Linked DNA regions of Schizosaccharomyces pombe. Changing the gene in region 2 together with the main gene of any one other region gives a genetic interaction. Each region holds a gene or a part of one and is shown on either strand. Other genes may lie near its edges. The genes, in order: gpd3, ppk30, ubp3 and SPOM_SPCC569.04.

What was found.
Region 1: mutations in ppk30 (region 2) and gpd3 together harm fitness more than expected from each alone (negative genetic interaction), as found in Schizosaccharomyces pombe (one large-scale study listed by BioGRID).
Region 3: mutations in ppk30 (region 2) and ubp3 together harm fitness less than expected from each alone (positive genetic interaction), as found in Schizosaccharomyces pombe (one large-scale study listed by BioGRID).
Region 4: mutations in ppk30 (region 2) and SPOM_SPCC569.04 together harm fitness more than expected from each alone (negative genetic interaction), as found in Schizosaccharomyces pombe (one large-scale study listed by BioGRID).

What each region holds. Positions count from the first base shown.
Region 1 is NC_003423.3:576,105-580,838, reverse strand, and holds gpd3 (glyceraldehyde 3-phosphate dehydrogenase Gpd3), read right to left. Parts: upstream 2,723-4,734; 5' UTR 2,658-2,722; intron 2,115-2,657; 5' UTR 2,109-2,114; coding exon 1,101-2,108; 3' UTR 783-1,100; downstream 1-782.
Region 2 is NC_003423.3:2,625,289-2,631,378, forward strand, and holds ppk30 (Ark1/Prk1 family protein kinase Ppk30), read left to right. Parts: upstream 1-2,010; 5' UTR 2,011-2,305; coding exon 2,306-5,167; 3' UTR 5,168-5,590; downstream 5,591-6,090. Other genes in the region: TATA-binding protein-associated factor Mot1, read right to left, coding at 1-277; pal1 family early clathrin mediated endocytosis factor, meiosis specific Pal2, read right to left, coding at 5,754-6,090.
Region 3 is NC_003423.3:3,675,884-3,680,545, reverse strand, and holds ubp3 (ubiquitin hydrolase Ubp3), read right to left. Parts: upstream 2,898-4,662; 5' UTR 2,834-2,897; coding exon 2,753-2,833; intron 2,715-2,752; coding exon 1,257-2,714; 3' UTR 885-1,256; downstream 1-884. Other genes in the region: erd2 (HDEL receptor), read right to left, coding at 1-280, 336-461, 499-520; RNA methyltransferase Nop2, read left to right, coding at 3,969-4,662.
Region 4 is NC_003421.2:2,426,407-2,429,660, forward strand, and holds SPOM_SPCC569.04 (uncharacterized protein), read right to left. Parts: upstream 1,179-3,254; coding exon 813-1,178; 3' UTR 672-812; downstream 1-671.

The DNA.
Region 1 (4,734 bases), 2.0 Mb from region 2:
ATTGTTACTATATGAATTGATAATTTAAATAACAATCTCATGCTTAAACACACTTTCAAGCTATTGGAACATGAGACACAAGTATAAACAGTTCCATAGATGAGCCTCGCAATCGAGCGATTGTTTCTCGCTTAGATATAACTGTATTTTTTATGAGGGTACATGTGACTAGCAATGCGGTATCAAAAAACCAAAGGACAAAATACAAAAAACAGGATTAGCTGTTATCCAGAAAAGAATCAAATGCAAGCATGAAATTTTTTGAATAATTTTCTGAAGCACAAACAGCTCTAAGTATCAAACATTAAGAGTTGCGAGAACCGCCTAAATGGAACACTCGCTTTCATCATCATACTTGATGGTCTGAGATTGATCTGGAAAGTGGAGTGAACGAACACTAAGAATGAAAATGCTAAATTTAAATTGCTATCTATTAATATATAATTTTTCTTATCGTTTGACTTACACTTCCATTCTAGAAACTTGCAAATAGGGGCAGTAAAGATAGGCAGCAGAGGCCCTCAAAAGGACTGAAAAATTATTTACTTCACCCAAAAAAGCGTGGGCCAAGTTTATGGAAACATCTTAGCGAATATCTATCATCAAGACGAAAACAATTATCTCAAATGCAAACGGTAATAGAATGCTAACAAGCAACTATGATAACTATATAATGCTTTATAAATCAGTCTACCTTTTTTACCTCCAATAAACTACCACATTTCAAATCAAAATTTTCATACACCACATACTTTACGGATTTTTTACACATTAAAAACAAGTGAAGAAAAAACAATTCATTTAAAATTATATCTTAATCTATTTCGTAGAAAGGTCGTCAGCTATAGAGATCGCCCTAGGAGCGCAATCAAAATGATAACGTGGAATAAAAGAGGAAAATCTCATACATGTCTATCATTATCGTAGCAAACCCCAGAAAAGGAAAAGGGGGAAAACAAGCATAAGAATAAAAAACCAAAAGTTCGCACATATGTAAGACCCCCCAAAACCGAACGCATGTTCAGTTGAATAGCTTGGAGTTTAACAACGGCTGATTAGAGAGATATAGATTGACGACGGAATAAATCGAAAGAAGCAATCTAATCCTTGGAAGCAGTGTAGGCAACCAAGTCAACAACACGGTGGGAGTAACCCCATTCGTTATCGTACCAAGAGACGAGCTTGACGAATTGAGGAGAAAGTTGGATACCGGCAGAGGCATCGAAGATGGAGGAGTGGTTGTCACCACAGAAGTCGGTGGAGACAACAGAGTCCTCGGTGTAACCCAACACACCCTTCATGGGACCCTCAGAGGCAGCCTTGATAGCAGCCTTGATGTCCTCGTAGTTGGTAGGCTTGGCCAACTTGACGGTCAAGTCAACAACGGAAACATCGGGGGTAGGGACACGGAAAGCCATACCGGTAAGCTTACCGTTAAGAGCGGGAATAACCTTACCGACGGCCTTGGCGGCACCAGTGGAGGAGGGGATGATGTTGGCGCTGGCGCCACGACCACCACGCCAGTCCTTCTTAGAGGGACCGTCAACGGTCTTTTGGGTGGCAGTGGTAGCGTGAACAGTGGTCATGAGACCCTCTTCAATACCGAAGGTGTCGTTGATGACCTTGGCAAGGGGAGCCAAACAGTTGGTGGTGCAAGAGGCGTTGGAGATAACCTTCTCGGAGGGGTTGAACTTCTCCAAGTTAACACCGACGACGAACATGGGAGCATCCTTGGAAGGAGCAGAGATGATGACACGCTTGGCACCACCCTTCAAGTGAGCAGAGGCAGTCTCCTTGGTAGTGAAGACACCAGTGGACTCAATAACGTACTCAGCACCAGAGGCAGACCACTTGATGTTGGCGGGGTCACGCTCGTTGTGGACATCGATGGAGTGACCGTCGATGACAAGCTTGCCACCCTTGGTCTCAACGGAGCCCTCAAAGCGACCGTGGGTAGAGTCGTACTTGAACATATATGCCATGTAGTCAAGATCGATGAAAGGATCGTTGACAGCGACAACTTGGATCTTGCCAGTGAGGATGGCGTTACGGAGGACGATACGGCCAATACGACCGAAACCGTTGATACCAACTTTAGGAATTGCCATTGTTATCTGAAAAGAGTTAGTAAGAAGAAGAGATCAAAGAGGAGAGAAAAAGGCAAAAAGAAGCGAGAGAGGGAAGAAAGCGAAGAGAAGAAGAAGAAGAAACGATGAGCGTCATTAAAAGAAAAGATATCATTATTGAGAGAAGAATAGAAAAGAAAGTATACTAAAAACAGCAGCTTTGTCGCTTTCGGCAAGTCTATTTTAATTTCTGACCAAACTGCCGTCAAGCGAAAAATAAAGCCTTCTTTACCGAAAGAAACGGAAACTAACGAATCTTATCACGACTTCGTTGTACAATTTCACCATACTGGATATGACATGTTTTCGTCATGTCAAGTAAAATCAGAGAGCCTCTTCTCTTGGCAATCTCACTGACCATTTTCATTTCAATTCATCGCTCAAAATCCATCTTTTTCAACTAAAAGAGAATATCAAAAGAAAATATCCCTTCCTTTTCCTCAATCTATTTTTCCCTCTTGGCAGGTGTTTGACACATGTCACATGTCTCACCAAGCCAATGCTTTGCCAATGCCACAGCGCATCACATACCTAATTAATTCGATTGCTATTTCTCAAAACCAAACAAGTACTATTGCTGATTTCTTGATACTACAAAGAAGCAGACTGGCCTACCACTCCTATTTATATTGTATGTGTTTACGCTAGAGTTGTCATGCCAACGACGGTATCGTAAGCGGCGATTTCCGTGTTCGGTACTTGGCAGATCGGATAATGAAATTAGCGGCCTTCTAGATAACTTCCCATGCGAATATTTTTGGCTCATAATCATACAACAATCGACGCATTGCGTTGACCTTTCCCTCGCCTCGCTTGACAGGAACGAGAGAGGCAAGGATGGAATGGCATGGAATGGATGAGTTGGGATGGCGGTGGAAAAGAAAAAGAAATGTAAACAATGAGTGTAGAGGAAAGAAGAAGAGAAGAGAATAGCATAGCATAGCATAGCATAGTAATCAAGAGGACAAGTGGGAGAAATGAGACAAGTGGTAAATCCAAGTCAACTGTGAAATTTCGAATGCAATTGGATTCAATCCATTTCTATTGATTCTATAAAAATGTTCATTTACTTCACTATTCATCGACTCACTTCACTAATAGTCATCGAGTATATCTGCTGTGTGTGTCAGTCTCGTCCCTTCCATCATCCATCAATCCGCCCTTGGAATGGCGTTTCCAATGCCTAGATGGAATGGAATGTTTAGAGGGTTGGCCCAGTTAGCTGTTGTTAGGCTGACGATTCTTGCATTGAATTGCATGATTTTGTTTGACCGTGCTAACAGGGCTATTAGCAAGGCTCATGGCATCCCAGCGGCTCCTCGGGAATAACGAGGTGCAAAGTCTCGTTAACATCATCTGTTTGTGAGGGAGGATGGAGGAGGGTAGGAGGGTAGGAGGGTAGCGAAAAGGTAGGAAGGGAGCGGGTTAGACGTGGAACATGAAGGAGAAGACATAGAATAACAAGGAGAAGATATAGAACAATTGTTTACAGTGCACAGTTTGGAAAAGAGATTCAGTTGGAAAAGGAAAATCGTTGATGTTGAGATTGTTATTGTATAAAGTTTTTGCTTTCTATTGACATCTCTCATTTACCTACTACCACTTTCCACTCCTTTTTCTCTCTCTCTCTCCCCCCCTACTTTATCGAGTTCAACAATACTCTGCTGTCCGACTATACTGAACTACGACGCTTTGCACTATGTTCCTCTGCGCTTGACTGCCCAGGACGTTCCTTCGGTTAATCGTAAGCTGTTTCTTCGGAAAAAATTGATCGGCAGTTGGGACAATTTGAGTTTCCGGGGCGGTTACAAGGTCTTGTGATGGTTGGCGGATTCGGATTGAAAGAACCCTAATTCACCTTCTAGAGAAACCTTATGTGAATGAGCTGACGAATCAACCATCGACGAGGATCCTTTCAAGGTCCGGGATGCGCTCATCCTCAAGTCCATACTGGTTCCGAGAGTTTCTATTGCGTCACTTTTTATGTAGGCGAAATTAATTTTGGCGGGCCACCGTCCGATAAGAAAGGAAAAGGAACCGAAGGAAGCAGGAGGAAGCAGCTGAAACAGCGCGAGACTCACATACAGAGAGTGAGGAATAACACAGTAATGCAACGTAAAAACAAAGCCATCAAAAAAGAACTTTGCTCTATGGAAACACACTGTAAGCAATGGAAACCCAGAATTGTTGTCTTCATAAAGGTCAATGAGTAACACAAAAAAATATGAGTTTTTAATCAATTGACTACTTCAATCCATTCTTTCTTCATTCAATTCCCATTCCCATTCCCTTCAAACGGCCGAACTAGTTTCTTCCTTGTCCTCCATAACGAGCAGTGTCAACAACGTGCACTATCCTAACGTAGAGTGTCATTCTTTCCAAAACATTTTAGCACATTGCGTTACCTCATGCATCACAGTAATGGGGTCCAGCTCGCTTGCTAATTTACCCATTCTCCTTGCAATCCACCCCGCACTACACTATGCAACATACCGTGTTTCACCGTCGTCTCTCCATATTCGCTTGAGTTCTTGGCGTTCTCGCAAACAAACTGGATGTCTCATAAAAGGAATTCCTCTTTTTCTTTTCTTTTTTTTTTTTGAATCTT
Region 2 (6,090 bases):
AAGGCAAATCTTCAGTTTCCTCCTTTTTTACCGGAGACGTCCTATTTGGATTCCATACAGGCACATTTTCCACTATTCCACCGATCGCTTTGGCAGCAGCAACACGTGTATCCCAGTTTTTAGATTTCAAGTATGGGACGACTCGTCCCAATAGATTGTAAAGCTCATCAGGATGAACTTTCTGTATATCTCCAATTTGTTTAGCAGCTGTCTCTCGAACGACAGAAGTAGAGCCGCTATCAAGCAATACAACCAACCGGTCGAGGCGTGTTGTCATATGTGAAATTAAAGAAAAAGAAGCTTTTCCCAAAAGATCAGTTTAATTACTCACTTAATATGAGGCTCAAATTACACCTCCCAAATATAAAATTAACAAACAAACAAAAAAGAAAACAGTGCTTAAAAATAATAATAATAACACGAAGGATTCAAATAAAAAACCAGGATCTCTATAATTGAAAATAAAGGTTTGTTTACAGCTAGCTGTAGACTGATGATGAGCGTAGTACCTGTCAATAAACACGTCGGTAACCAAATTTTTTATCACTATACTAAAAAACCCTTATTGAATTCAACCGTGGAAATAATAGAGCATAATTCTTTTAATGTTTACTAATTTGCCGCTTTCAATGGCTGCAAAAGCCATCGTCAGCTGGGAGGCTGGTGGTACTTATGCGATTTGAGAAGCCATCAAAACGTGAAAAAAGCTGGCAAACCCTAACCCACACATTTACTTATATGAGTAGTTGCAAATTTTATAATGCAATTTGACAAAAAATATTGAAATGAACATGCTTATACATTTATACTGTGTACTTAATTGTAAAAATGTTATGACCCACTAGTCATATGTTATGTCTATGTATTTTGCAACCTTGGAATGATTAGTTCAAAGAAAGCAAACAACGTATTCTCGCATCGCGCTAAGCATCGTTACTTTGCATTATTATCAATTTGCTTATCATTTTGCTTATTAAGTATAGAACAAATAAAATTCTTATGAAATTTCTCGTATTCTAAAAAATGAATTAATTCCCGCTTTAAACAAGATTTAACACCGTTTAAAGTTCCTAAAAACGGAACATTGCAATTGCGTTCTTTGAAGGATAGTGATGGTTTTCGGTAAATATTATTCTTATTGTGCACCCTACACAGATTGACAAATAATAAAAATAATCAAGTACGATAATGATGCTTCTGATAATTGGTGATTCGACGAAGTTTACCAATTGTCCAAATTACCAGCGTCTGCTAAGCTTTTGCGCATGAAAGATGTGTTACGAATATTACAAGTGAATACAAGAAAAAGAGTGTTTCTAAAGAAGAGTAGGGTTAATGAATAGTTGCAGTCTATTATCGTTTTGAACGCAGAGTTGTTTAGTAGAAAACAAAAAAAAAAAGTTTACATATTCGGTAAAAAAATGTATGGATGCTATGGGCACCAATAGTATGCATAAGGTTAACTCTTTGTATTGCAGCTAAAGATGTAGTGAGGACGTCAATATTTGCAATTCCGCATCTGAACACAGGAAGTCTAGCAAACTCTTAAAGACTTTTTATTATAAACCAAAAATGAGTGAGAATGTTTTTCTTATTTTTATGTTTAAAAAGTAAAAACAAAAAAACTCTTGAAATATTAACCTTTAAACACATAAAGTATATACTACTTGTATAGAAAACGTAATGTTCCCTATCACTTTTACAGTTAAAAAATGTTGAATCAAAATTTGAATATGATAGTAATACCACTAAAAACTTAATGTTAACAAACAACTACTTTTAATTGATGAATTTACTTTTATAAATTGCTATTTGATGCTATTATGTTTTCATTATAATATGTTTTACGGATTGATCGGTAAGTTGCGATACACGGTATGTTAGATTTTCATGAACCGATTTAGTGTCATTTCGCTTACTCGTTATCCGAACCGTTTCCGCATCAAGCTGATATTTACCATAACAAGACCTCACGGTTAAGTCGCTATCTCCGTTGCCTCCCTTACTGACAGACCCAAAACGCACTTGTCAAGTTGGGGCTTACTCTTCCATTGTGAGTTTTGTTCTTTCTCCTTTGCAATTAATTGAAAGTATTAATCGCTAGTTAAGCTATAAAGGTTTTAATTACCCAACGTTGTGAAGAGTAACCAAACGTACTTTGTGAAATTTCATTTAATAGAAAACCGGTTGCTTCAATTTGTATATTCTTCTTTTGTACAAAATTACCTTTCATTTCTCATTTTTAATTGCATCAATTAAGGTTCCTAATTGTTTGTTTGGAATTCCATTATTGTTCTAATTGCATATGACAGAAGTCTACTCGAAAGCACCGGCTACCGTAGGCCAAGTCAAATTATCAAACAATGGAACTTCTAATAAAGCCTACTCAGTTCCGAAATCTCCAGCTCCGGTAAGGACTGATTTGTTTAGTAAGATTCCAGCTGGTACTAAAATTCAAGTTGGCTCACACAGTGTCATTATCCAGCGCTACCTCAGTGAAGGCGGATTTTCTCATGTTTATCTTGCTTTATTGGAAAATGAGAAACCCTTTGTTTTAAAACGTATATATGTCCCTGATAAAACTGCTTTACAACTTGTTCATGGAGAAATTGAGACGATGAAGCGGCTAAAAGGTCATCGTCATATAGTTAATTATATCGATTCAAGTGCACTTTATTCCAAATCAGAAAATCGTTATGAAGTCTACTTGCTTATGGAGTTTTGTGCTGGTGGTGGTCTGATTGACTTTATGAATACTCGGTTGCAACATCGGTTAACTGAAGGCGAAATATTAAAAATTCTAGCAGACGTTTGTGATGCTGTAGCCGCTATGCACTACTTAGATCCCCCTTTAATCCATAGAGATTTAAAAATTGAAAATGTTTTGTTGGTGGCTCCGAATTCTTACAAGCTTTGTGATTTTGGAAGTGCATGTGAACCATTGGCCCCAGCTACAACGCCCGACACAATAATGTTTTTAGAGCAAAATATTGCTGCTTATACTACACCCCAGTACCGAGCTCCTGAAATGATTGATATTAATAGAAGGCAAGGAATAGACGAAAAAAGTGATATATGGGCTATTGGTGTTCTTGCATATAAGCTATGCTATTATACAACACCTTTTGAACAGGTTGGTAATAGTGCAATACTTAAGGCTTCTTTCTCTTTTCCACCCTTTCCACGATATAGTGATAGGATGAAGCGTTTCATAGCCACATGCCTTCAAGAACAACCTTCCCATCGTCCAAATATTTACCAAACTTTGAAAGAAATTATGGAAATGCAAGGTACACCTCTGAAACTTCCTGATGTATATGGTGGGGTCAATGCCTCAACTTACAATCCTCCAAGAGCTCCTCTTCAGCGAACTCCTTCAGGAAGCCTTACTCCGCTGAGTTCTCGTCCAGCACATACGTCTCTTCCTCCTATTCCAACTGTGCAAACGACTTCTTCAAATGTACCCCCGGTGAATCGCCCATCTTTAAAGTCAAAATCTCCTTCTGTTTCTAACATCCTTTCAAATCAGTTAAGTCCTATTTCTTCTGCTAACAATGATGTGATGGCGCGGTTGCAACCAAAATCTCCAATCCCTGCAACAAAAAGCTACTCTGCAACAATTCAGACGCCCCGTTCTCCTTCTTTACGAAGGGCTGATAGCACATCTCATATTATAAAAGTTCCTCATTTACCCGACACATCTGTGAAAACTGCTAAAACCGGGGCATCTGAAATTGATGTTCTTAGTCGGTATCCTAGCGTGGAAGAAATTGATAAAATTACTGACAAAATTGAGGTTAGTAAACCACTTCGCAACAGTGGGCCTCTAGCTTTCAAGCCTTTTGAAAAGATTTCTGCGAACAAACAGACTGATTTATTACAGAATAAACCTGAAGCCCTCCTAGATTTAGAGAATCGGTTTTTACCTAAACCATCTCCTAAACCATCCGAATTCAGTTCGTCTGTGGGATCTAAGCAAAACTTGTCAATGGATATTCCTTCAGTTCAAAATGTTTCGACAAAACAGAAGTCTACAAATGACACAGATAATAGCAAATTGAAAATAAATAAGCCTTTAACTGGGGGATATGCACCTCTACCATCACGTCCGAATCGAATGAATCATAGCGTTTTAAATGAAAAATCTAACAAGGAGTTTGTACGAGGACCAAGAGTACTTCCGCCAATAGAAGTTTCTTCCTCTAAGATGGCTGGACTGGATATTAGAAAAGAGCCTTTTACACCTGCTGTTCCTAGCGCAAAATCAGGTTTAAAGAAAGACCAATCTAGTGAGGTTGCAAATAAAGATGTTGTATCGAAAAACAAGGATAACATAGCTATACTGGCTGATAGAGAAGCACGTCCCCAACTCCTTCTTGACGATAACAATGACTCTAGCTCCTCCTCGAGCGAGCATCTCATATCGTTTAATAATCATACGGGAAACAAAATATTATCAAGGCAGACAACATCATCAAGCATCGATAGTAATAATGTTCAATCGAATATCGAGTTTTTGAAAGGATTGAATGCTACTCATGCTCGTTCAACATCTCAGGTATCGCATACACAAAGATTACAGCAGTCAATTTCAACCAGCTTAGAAAGAGTTAAGAGCAATACCAAAAAGGAGTCTAATAGTCCTCGTCAGGTGTCTAAATTGAAGCGCCCCATCGGTGCTTCTAATAAAATTCTCTCTGGTAAATTCGGTGAAGCATTCAAAAAGTTTGAGTTTGGTGGGGAGAAGATGTCACGGAGACGCAAAAGTGAAACTAAAAAGAATTTAGTATCGATTTTACCTGACACTGAGGTCGACGAGTATCCTAAGGCTTCAAATGAATGGATAGTTGAAAGTGAAGAACTTCCCCAAGTACATGAAACTATCAATCAGTATCGAAAGTCTTGTGAAACACAAAGATCACGTAAATCGCATGAAGGAAGCAATGATCTAGAACGTCAACCATCTTCGCCAGATACTGTGCATCCGGGAATCAAGCGATCTCACTTTATTCGAGAGCGTGTGAAACAATTACTCTCTGATGCTAATAAACACCATCAATCACCATCTGACTCAGAAACAGATAGAACACCTGATTCGAGTTCTATTCATTTACCACACATTGAGCGTCTAAACCTTTTCCATACCAAATCTGAAAGCTTGGAGTAACACTAGCATTCAGTATTTGTTTAAATCGTACTTAATTTCTCGGTTGCATTAGATACCAAAGCATATTTGTCTTCTATTTTTGGACGTGGAGTACTCTCTTTTTATTTTGTCCGCTGATAACTTCTTTATGAACTTAATGATTTATTTTTAACAAAAAAAAAAAAAAAGATTTTATATACTACTAATCAACTACTTGTTGTAAGTATTGTTTATTATATTGTCTTATTCAATATTCATCAACCACTAAACGAATGCTACTTGCATGTTCCGAGGTTCAACAGTCAGTTTTTACTATTTTATATTATAACTTTGTTCTTTGGCCACCAATTTGTAAATAAAAAGAACTTGTGCTTTCTATGCACTTTGTTGATTCAAATTAAAGAATTAAAAATTGCCTTAAACCATAAACATTTTTAATATAACATATATATATATATATATATATAGTAACATAGATACTGTTCTGTAAATTTATCATAACTTCCAGGTGGGTAGCGATCATCGCATTGCGCAAATGGATTTGAAGTTTCGCTAGACTATGTAATGAGCGTAATCCACCAAACTTAACAATTATAAAATTCAACAATCATTCGGTTTCAATGGAATTACGCTTCAAATGCTTGCGCAAACGATAGATAAAAGATGCTTTTTTCTTTAAATTATTTTCCGTATTGTCAGTCGCATCATCGTTGCTGCATACATTAATGTCTGTAGGGTTTGGAGATTCATTTGTTGATGAATTTACGTTTGAAGAATCGTTGTCCGTCACACCGTCCTCATTTTCTTCAGATTTTTCAACACCCTTTGAGTTATTAGGAAGTAAAAATGCTGGTAATGAATTTGCTTCGCTCTGACTTGAAAATGCAGCTATTGGGCTAGTGGCAGCATCAAGATTTCGATGCTTAGAACACGGGTCAAATGGG
Region 3 (4,662 bases), 1.1 Mb from region 2:
TCACCAGATCGTTGTAACATAAACAATTGAGGGAGAATTGCAACACTTTCTAACCAAATACTAAAAGTCCATAGGATGTTACTAATGGTATAACTGGTTGGATAAATGAGAGCCAGAACTGCACAACCACCTAAGATATATTCAGTTCGAAAAGTATCAAGACGTTTGTCATATGTAGGTCGCAAAGTCATTAACATCAAGTAGCATATATAGGATTCGGAAGCTATAAAAACTATCCTCATCAAGAAATAATACAAGCTTTTGTATCTCCAAAAGAGATCTGTTAAAAAAAAGAGTTAGCAAAGAAAGTATTTTTCGAAAAGTTCAGCACATACTCAAATAACGTGTAACATAAACAAGCAGAAACAAAAGATGGGATTTGAGAGATAGTCCTGAACAGGTTTTCGATTTTTTCATTCGGTGCAAAAGCAAGAAAATAGCAGCCAAATGGGCCATATCACCTAATGATTAGCTTTACTTTGACGAAATTCATCATACCCAGTGCACTGAAAAATGTCATGATTAATTAATAAAAGTAAGGAGTGCCTATTTCAACGCGCCAGGTATTAGGAAAAAGAATTTGGTAGTGGTGTTGACAATAGGCTTAACTGCGCAGAGATATAATTGGGGTATGCAAGTGGGGGCCAAATGTTTAATAAATGCAACAAAAAAACTGTAATTTATATTCGTACTTTAGAATGCGCTGAATCAAGATTCTCAAACGATCAAATCTTTTTATTTAAAACAAGGAGTTTAGCTTGCATGAAAATTATAGAAATGGGCTTTAAAGTGACAAACTTGATGCCATAGTACTTCAAATATTACATTATGAAGCTGGACTTGACCTACTACTAATAGGACAGCAAAATAAAAACCACTTGACCCTACTTTTGGTACTGTTTTAAAATATATACTGCATTAAAGCTGCAATGAAAATTCACTTGTATATTCGGAGTAAGTTCCTAGAAAGGTTGTATTATAAAGCCGATTAGTTTAAAGGGATTGAGAGGGAACGTAATCTTAAATAGCTAAAGTTCATAAAATAAAAAATAATAAAAAATTGCTGAACCTTTTTGAGAAAATTATGTAAAAAAGATATGATAAAATTTTCTAACCGACGTTTTAAACAAAAAGAATTATAAAAAAGTGTAGTCCCCAGTTTTAGCTCAAATCCTTGAGTTGTTTATTGAAGAATACACAAAACAATTAAGGTTTTTATTGGTTAATTTTTTTTGGGAGGAAGGAATCCAGATGACCTAGGAGCGTCGTGTGTAAAACAGTAAGTATGCCACACGATCGCCGTGACCAAGTTTACTAAGACTCGGATCAGCGGAAAGTTCGGAGTTTTCAACATCATGAATAGGTACGCGGTGAATGTGTGTATCATCAATCCGAAACCAGCCGCTTTTATCAAGTTGCTGAACATCGACAGTATAATGACCACCAGACGCAGAAGTACCGTGATGATAAACCACTGCATTCAAATCATATTCCGGATGTATGGAACCACGAACAGAAGGGCTGAAAACGTTTTGTGGAATACTCAAGCGAGCAGGATAAGCAATAGGCTTATAATTTTTCTGTGTACCGCCAGATGCTTCGTAAAAGAATCGTTTAAGGTGAAGAATCAAGACAGGAGGAAGTGACTCTATATACATTTGCTTGGTAGCAGTAACATTTCCTTTCGACGAATGCCATTCCGGTAAAATTTCAGGGGCGGTCATATGCTCCAACGCATCGATAACTGAATGTATATCTTCTGCTTGAATGTCGAGTTGCAGAGGTTGAAACGGTTCTAACAAAACAGAATCTCTTGCACTCGGAACCCTTAAGGTAGAGCGCAGCTGACCACCAAAAATTTGGCTTATAGGAGACCTTTCAACAGTAGCAGATCTAGCAATTACTGGCTTTTTATTTTTACCAACTTCGGTCCAGCCACTAGCTTCTACAGAAGATTGATCATCAAAACTATCTAAACCAGACTTGATACCATTTGAAATTTTGATATCAGATTTTGGATTTCTTTCGTCATTTTTTAATAAATAATGTCTACGTTCACGCACGAATTCTTCATGTAATTCGTCAAGAAACAAATTCAAAAACTCCTCAGCATCCTCCTGTTCGCCGGTCTGCAACATTTCAAATCGAGGATTCCCCTTAGTAGCTGAATATACCACTTCTGGCAAAATAGAATCTCCTTGTAAATCAAATTTCTCAGAATATTCTCTAAAATCCCTAGAAAGCATTGTCAACGATTCAATAAGAGGTGTTGTACGTTCAAAATTATACGGAACCATCCGGTTAATTTGCTTAAGTAAATTATAAAATGGAACACAATACATTAGTGCCTGTAAAATAGAGTTCATAAAACATATATTTCCGGTATTTATAAAACCCCGAGGCTGTATAGGACGGGGTGCATCGAGGGATGGAGAATATGTTTCGATCAATTCACCAAGGGATGAATTGAAACTTTTTTTCTCAGACCTGTCAGACGGTACCGGAACAGAATGTGATTTTTTAACAGGAGAGTCTCCTTGAACATGCTTTTTCGCAATTGCAGACCACGATTTAGGCGATTTTTCAGACTCTTTCGTCTTTGATGTGACCAGAGGCATTTGCACCGAAACCGACCAATCTAAATTCTTAGGCGAACGCCTTTTTCTAGCCTTTCGATGAGGAAATTCATGTTCAGAGCATGAGTACCATGGTAGCTAAACGTTAGTATAATCACAATTTTAATAAAACATACCAGTGAATTGATAATAAATTGATTTCGTGACGAATCACTTTCCAAAGACGCGCTGTCCGTTGCAGAGGTCAAATCTCGCATGGAAATACGCACACTCTAGCAAGATTGAACTCTTGTTTACTAATTTGATGGTTGGCTGTCGTTCGCTTTGCTCTTCAAAAGACTGTCCAAAACTTTTTTTAATATACACTATACCTCGTTAATTCTTCGTATTCCACCAAGTGTATTATGGTGATATTCCACTGTAAACACTTGACCGCCTAACTCAAATTCCTAATTATTTTTAGTTGTTCTTTTTTATTATTAATTATTGAATGTCCATGCCCATCTTTAGTTATTTTTAGAGAATACGGTATATTTACATATCTAAGTACCACTATATGTATCTTAAACCACAAAAGTGATACGAAAAGAGAAAAGTAAATAGTAAATTTTAAAATTCGATATTCTGCTGTTGTGTGAACTATATATAGGTCTTGAATATATATTGTCACTCATTTTACGCCGCAGCAAATTCAATCGTTAACCAAGTCTTAATGTGATCATAATTGAAATGATTAATTGTCAAGGAGGTGAAGTAAGATGAACGAGTAAATTAAGTGACTTTTTTAAGTAAGCTGAGCAGTAAAGTACGTAGCAAATTTTAAAAAAGATAAATATAACAATAGTCGTGAATTTTTAATAATGTTAACTATGCTGTTGCTATGCGGTATATCTTTTTGTGTTTCAGCAATGCAGTTTGAATATCTGTTTAACGATACATAGAACTGCGGCAATTTTCTCTTGCGATCTACAATATAGCGGGATGCAGTATATTTTTAACTGACAATGTTTATAGGAAGCTATTAGTATCGATCATCGATACAGCTAGGAACTGTACCTCGTTCCTCAGTTCAACTGTAGCTCTATTAATAATATTTCTATAAGTTGCTATCAACGTTGCATCTATGTAGATAGACGGATAGTTTATCCTCGTGTATCAATAAACGGATCTTAAGTATTTAAACATATGGCATATAGTGATACGCAACATAGTATGTCATAGCGTAGTGTAGTATTGCTTGAAAAAATTTAATGTTCTTTATCTTTCGTAAAAGTTTTTAACAAAACTCAGCGATGTGAATAGTGGAGGTTGGACTGAAAGAATGCCAGTGCCAAAATTTTTCCTCAGCCCAAATAAACGTTTTTGGACTTCATCACATATTTTCCATAAAAGATGGGAAGAAAACAGAAGTCTAAGCAAGGAATTCCCCCAACTTTAGAGGAAAATCATAATTCTTCTCATAAAGTGACAGAAAATGCAAAAAAGAGAAAGCATTCAAAAGAAAAACCACAAAATTCTCGGAAACGCCAATTAGCAGAAGAAAAGAAATCTTTGTTTGAAAATTCGGATTCTGAGAATGAAAAAGATCTTATTGATGCAGACGAATTTGAAGAGGCTGAAACTTTATCAGACTTGGAACATGACGAGGAACCCCAAACATTTGCTGACGAGTTTATCGATGATGAGGCTAAAGAATGTGAAGGGGAGGAAGAAGATTCTGTTTTTGATTCGGATGAAGAGCATGAGGTTAAGCCTATGTTTAGCGATGATTCTGGAGATGAAGAGGATTTGGAACTTGCGAATATGGAAGCCATGTCTCGCAAACTTGATGAGGAAGCGGAATTAGAGGAAAAAGAAGCCGAGGAAGAATTGCATACCAACATACATCCTGAGGCTCCTACTGTTCTTCCACCTATTGATGGTTTTACCGATAGCCAACCAATATCTACTCTTCCACAGGATTTGAGCCAAATTCAATTGCGGATACAGGAAATAGTCCGTGTTTTGAATGATTTTAAAAATTTGTGTGAACCTGGACGCAATCGTTCTGAATATGTTGATCAACTCTTAAATGATATATGTGCGT
Region 4 (3,254 bases), on a different chromosome or scaffold from region 2:
CTCAATATGAATTAACCTTTTGTTATACATAAAGGTTCAAATCTCTATTCGAACTCATATTCACGATTATTGGATGGTATTGAAGTACTGTTATTGTGGAACAATGTCTCAGCTTAACAAAATTAAAAAAATAAGTAAATTATATGGATTTAAAATTGAAGAACACCTTTATAAAAAAGAAATATTAAATTTTTTTACATTATAACTGCTTAAATTTCCGGTTGAAAATAGTGTTGATCCTTTGTAGGTTTAGCAAAGGACAACTTTTATTGTTACCAACTTCTTTATTTCCTAAAAGGAATTTAGCTGATTTCACAATTTTCTGTTAAACTTTGTCTATTTGTCAAATTTGAAAATGGGAATTGTTACTACCATTAAAAAGGGCAAGCATAACCGGCCCAATATAGGTTTTTGTATTTGGACTAGACAAAAATATATAGATTATTTTTTGTTTTCTCCTGTTTTACATCTGAACCTTTTGCTATGTCTTAACAATCAAATAAATTATTTAAACATCTCCTTCGTTTGATTAAGCATTCTTAATTGACCTACCAATTGAAAGTTGAAATGAGGATGGACTTTACAAATATTCAAAGTTTTCCTATATTCGTATAACGAAGTCTCTTTGTTATTATTGTCAACATTTTCCAAATATTTTTCAGGATCATTAAGTATTCTGTTAGTGCTCGTATGCCAAGGAGTACACTTATCTTCATCCGCCTTCAATATCAATCTCAAACTATGATGCTTGGTTTTGACTTTTAAAAACTCGTCAAACATAGGAAATTGTGTGGAATCTTTTTTCTGTTTCTTTAATGAGTAAATCTCCATGCAGTACAGAATGGGCCCGAGTTTGCATCCTGGCATATAAAAAAATTATTCACGTCAATAACTCTACGATTTATCAACAATTCGTTCCCTCCCACATGAGAAACAATTTCCCATTCAAGAATTCGAAAGCAATTCTTCAAATAGTAATGAGTACGAGTGTCTGTTGTGTACAAAGGCCTTTTGGGGTAGACAGGCACTTTGACAGCGAACTTCAAGCGACTGTCAAATACAGGGCGTGAAGGAACTCCTCTCAGTAAGACTGAATATAAGTATGGAACTAGTTCTTGTATTTCAACTTTACGATTTTCACCTTTTCTGTTTTCATCACATAGATAAGAAGTAGACATTCTCAAGTCTTCAAAATACGTCCCACAAAAATCACAAGTACTATCCCTTTCTTTAACAACATCAGTAAATATCACCAAAGACTTTAATGGCTTCCTTTGAAATTGAAACCTATCAACTTTAATATATTTCTCATACACTTTTCGATTATTTTATCAAAGCCAGGTAAAACAGAATGTTCAGTTTTCTCAATCCCTTTTTTTTGAAAGGTATAAAGTCTTCTAAAGGATTATTTGTAGTACGAAGTTGACATCCACGCCGAAATTCCTTCTGACATCTGCCTGAATAAATAATGAACGAACTAAAATCCCATATAAGTGAAATTTGAATTAAATTAGTTATAAGTACTATAGTAAATAATAATGATTTCGATTGTCTTGCATATGTCAATCGGTATACACAGAATCGAGGAACACGATATAAAGAATTACGGCATGCAATTGAAATTAATGTTTGGTGTATATACTGTATAGTAGCTCTAAATTCTTTAAAAGAAGAAAAGAGATTATAATACCAAAGAGATTATCTGATGGTGTATGCATTTAGACAAGATGAGATAACTTTGAGCATGAATAATATATATTTGGCTACCTTTTCATCCAAAATGTTGTCGTTATATTTTGGGATGACAGAACATTGAGTATAATCAGTCGTGCTACACGTAAAATTCTGATTGAAAATACCTTTAAGTCTGTCAAATTTCTATTTATGATTCTATAACTGAATATTGATCAACAGAAAAGCGAATAGCTTGTTTTCATACACTTAAATATTTTATTTCTTTAAAAAGCCAGATAATCACTACAAAATTTGTACTTCAGATATATGAATTTAAACTTTGAGTAGCTATCTAATGATATGAGATAGAAACTGCTAAAACACTATGATGGACCCCAAAATATGTTTAACACCATTAATCGGTTGAACGTACTAAGAGGTAGTAGCTCAATGGTTGATTTATGCGAATATCGCATATAGGGTGGATGTCTAATTAATTTTTGCAAGGTTGAACTTTGAAAAAATTTATTTGAATTAAATTTAATACTACTAATTAAATACGATTTATTGCGCTTCTTAATTATTTCAATAGTTATAAATGAGTTCCTTATAAATTTGTTTGTATTTTTTTTAAAAAAAGAATTAAAAGTTTAGAAAACACTCTAAAAAAACTAGGCGAATCTTTATTGTGTACATCAACTTCAATTTATTTCCTATTAATTTTAACACAAACAAAACATTGTCAATCATTAATTAGGCTCGATGTTATAATTTTCATTATTGTTGCAGTACAAATAAGGAGACTGCTTGTATAAGTTGAGTAGCCTAAATGAAATTTTCTAAATTGGAAACATCTTCACAAAGTACTACCGAGTGAAATGGTGACACACTCTTACGGAAATTTTAACGATAGCTATCTATTTTTTAATTGCTCAAACACATTTTTAATCAACAACCTCATTTTTATTAGGAAGAAAATGAAAGATACAAAAGGATTTTGAGTGTAAGAAACTAAAATCTAGTAAATAATGTCCGGAAAGCAATGATTAAAGAGCATGCAAATCTAGAGACTGTTTTTTGCAATAAAAGACATATTGGTATTTATTTCCATGTTTATTTGTTTAGGGTTCTAACTGTTATGCGAAATCAAAGTCCAAGTTTTTTTTTTTGACATTATCTTGATGGACGATAGCTTGCTTAAATCGCTTATTTTCTTTTCCATGTGTTACTTAAACATAAACTTCACGTTCAATACGATGGTGAGGATTAACATCAAGTACAAGCTTATTTATACTAGTAATTCGTTTTTTGTATAAACGAAGTATGAAGAAGTACGAAAAAGGCGCGATTCAGCTCAAAAGTGAGTTTTGGGCTTCCTTTCTTTATTAACATTATGAAATCGACTTTTACCGAACGGGCATTGCAAATGTGATACGAATAAAACCGAATACCTCGTTGGTTCATGATACAGTTGAAATGATTTTGGAACCCTTATCAGTCAAGATGTAAAGGATGAGTTCGATAGATAAAATATCTCAAGGTTTTATAACAGGGGAGAAAACCATTTTCAAAATTTCCCT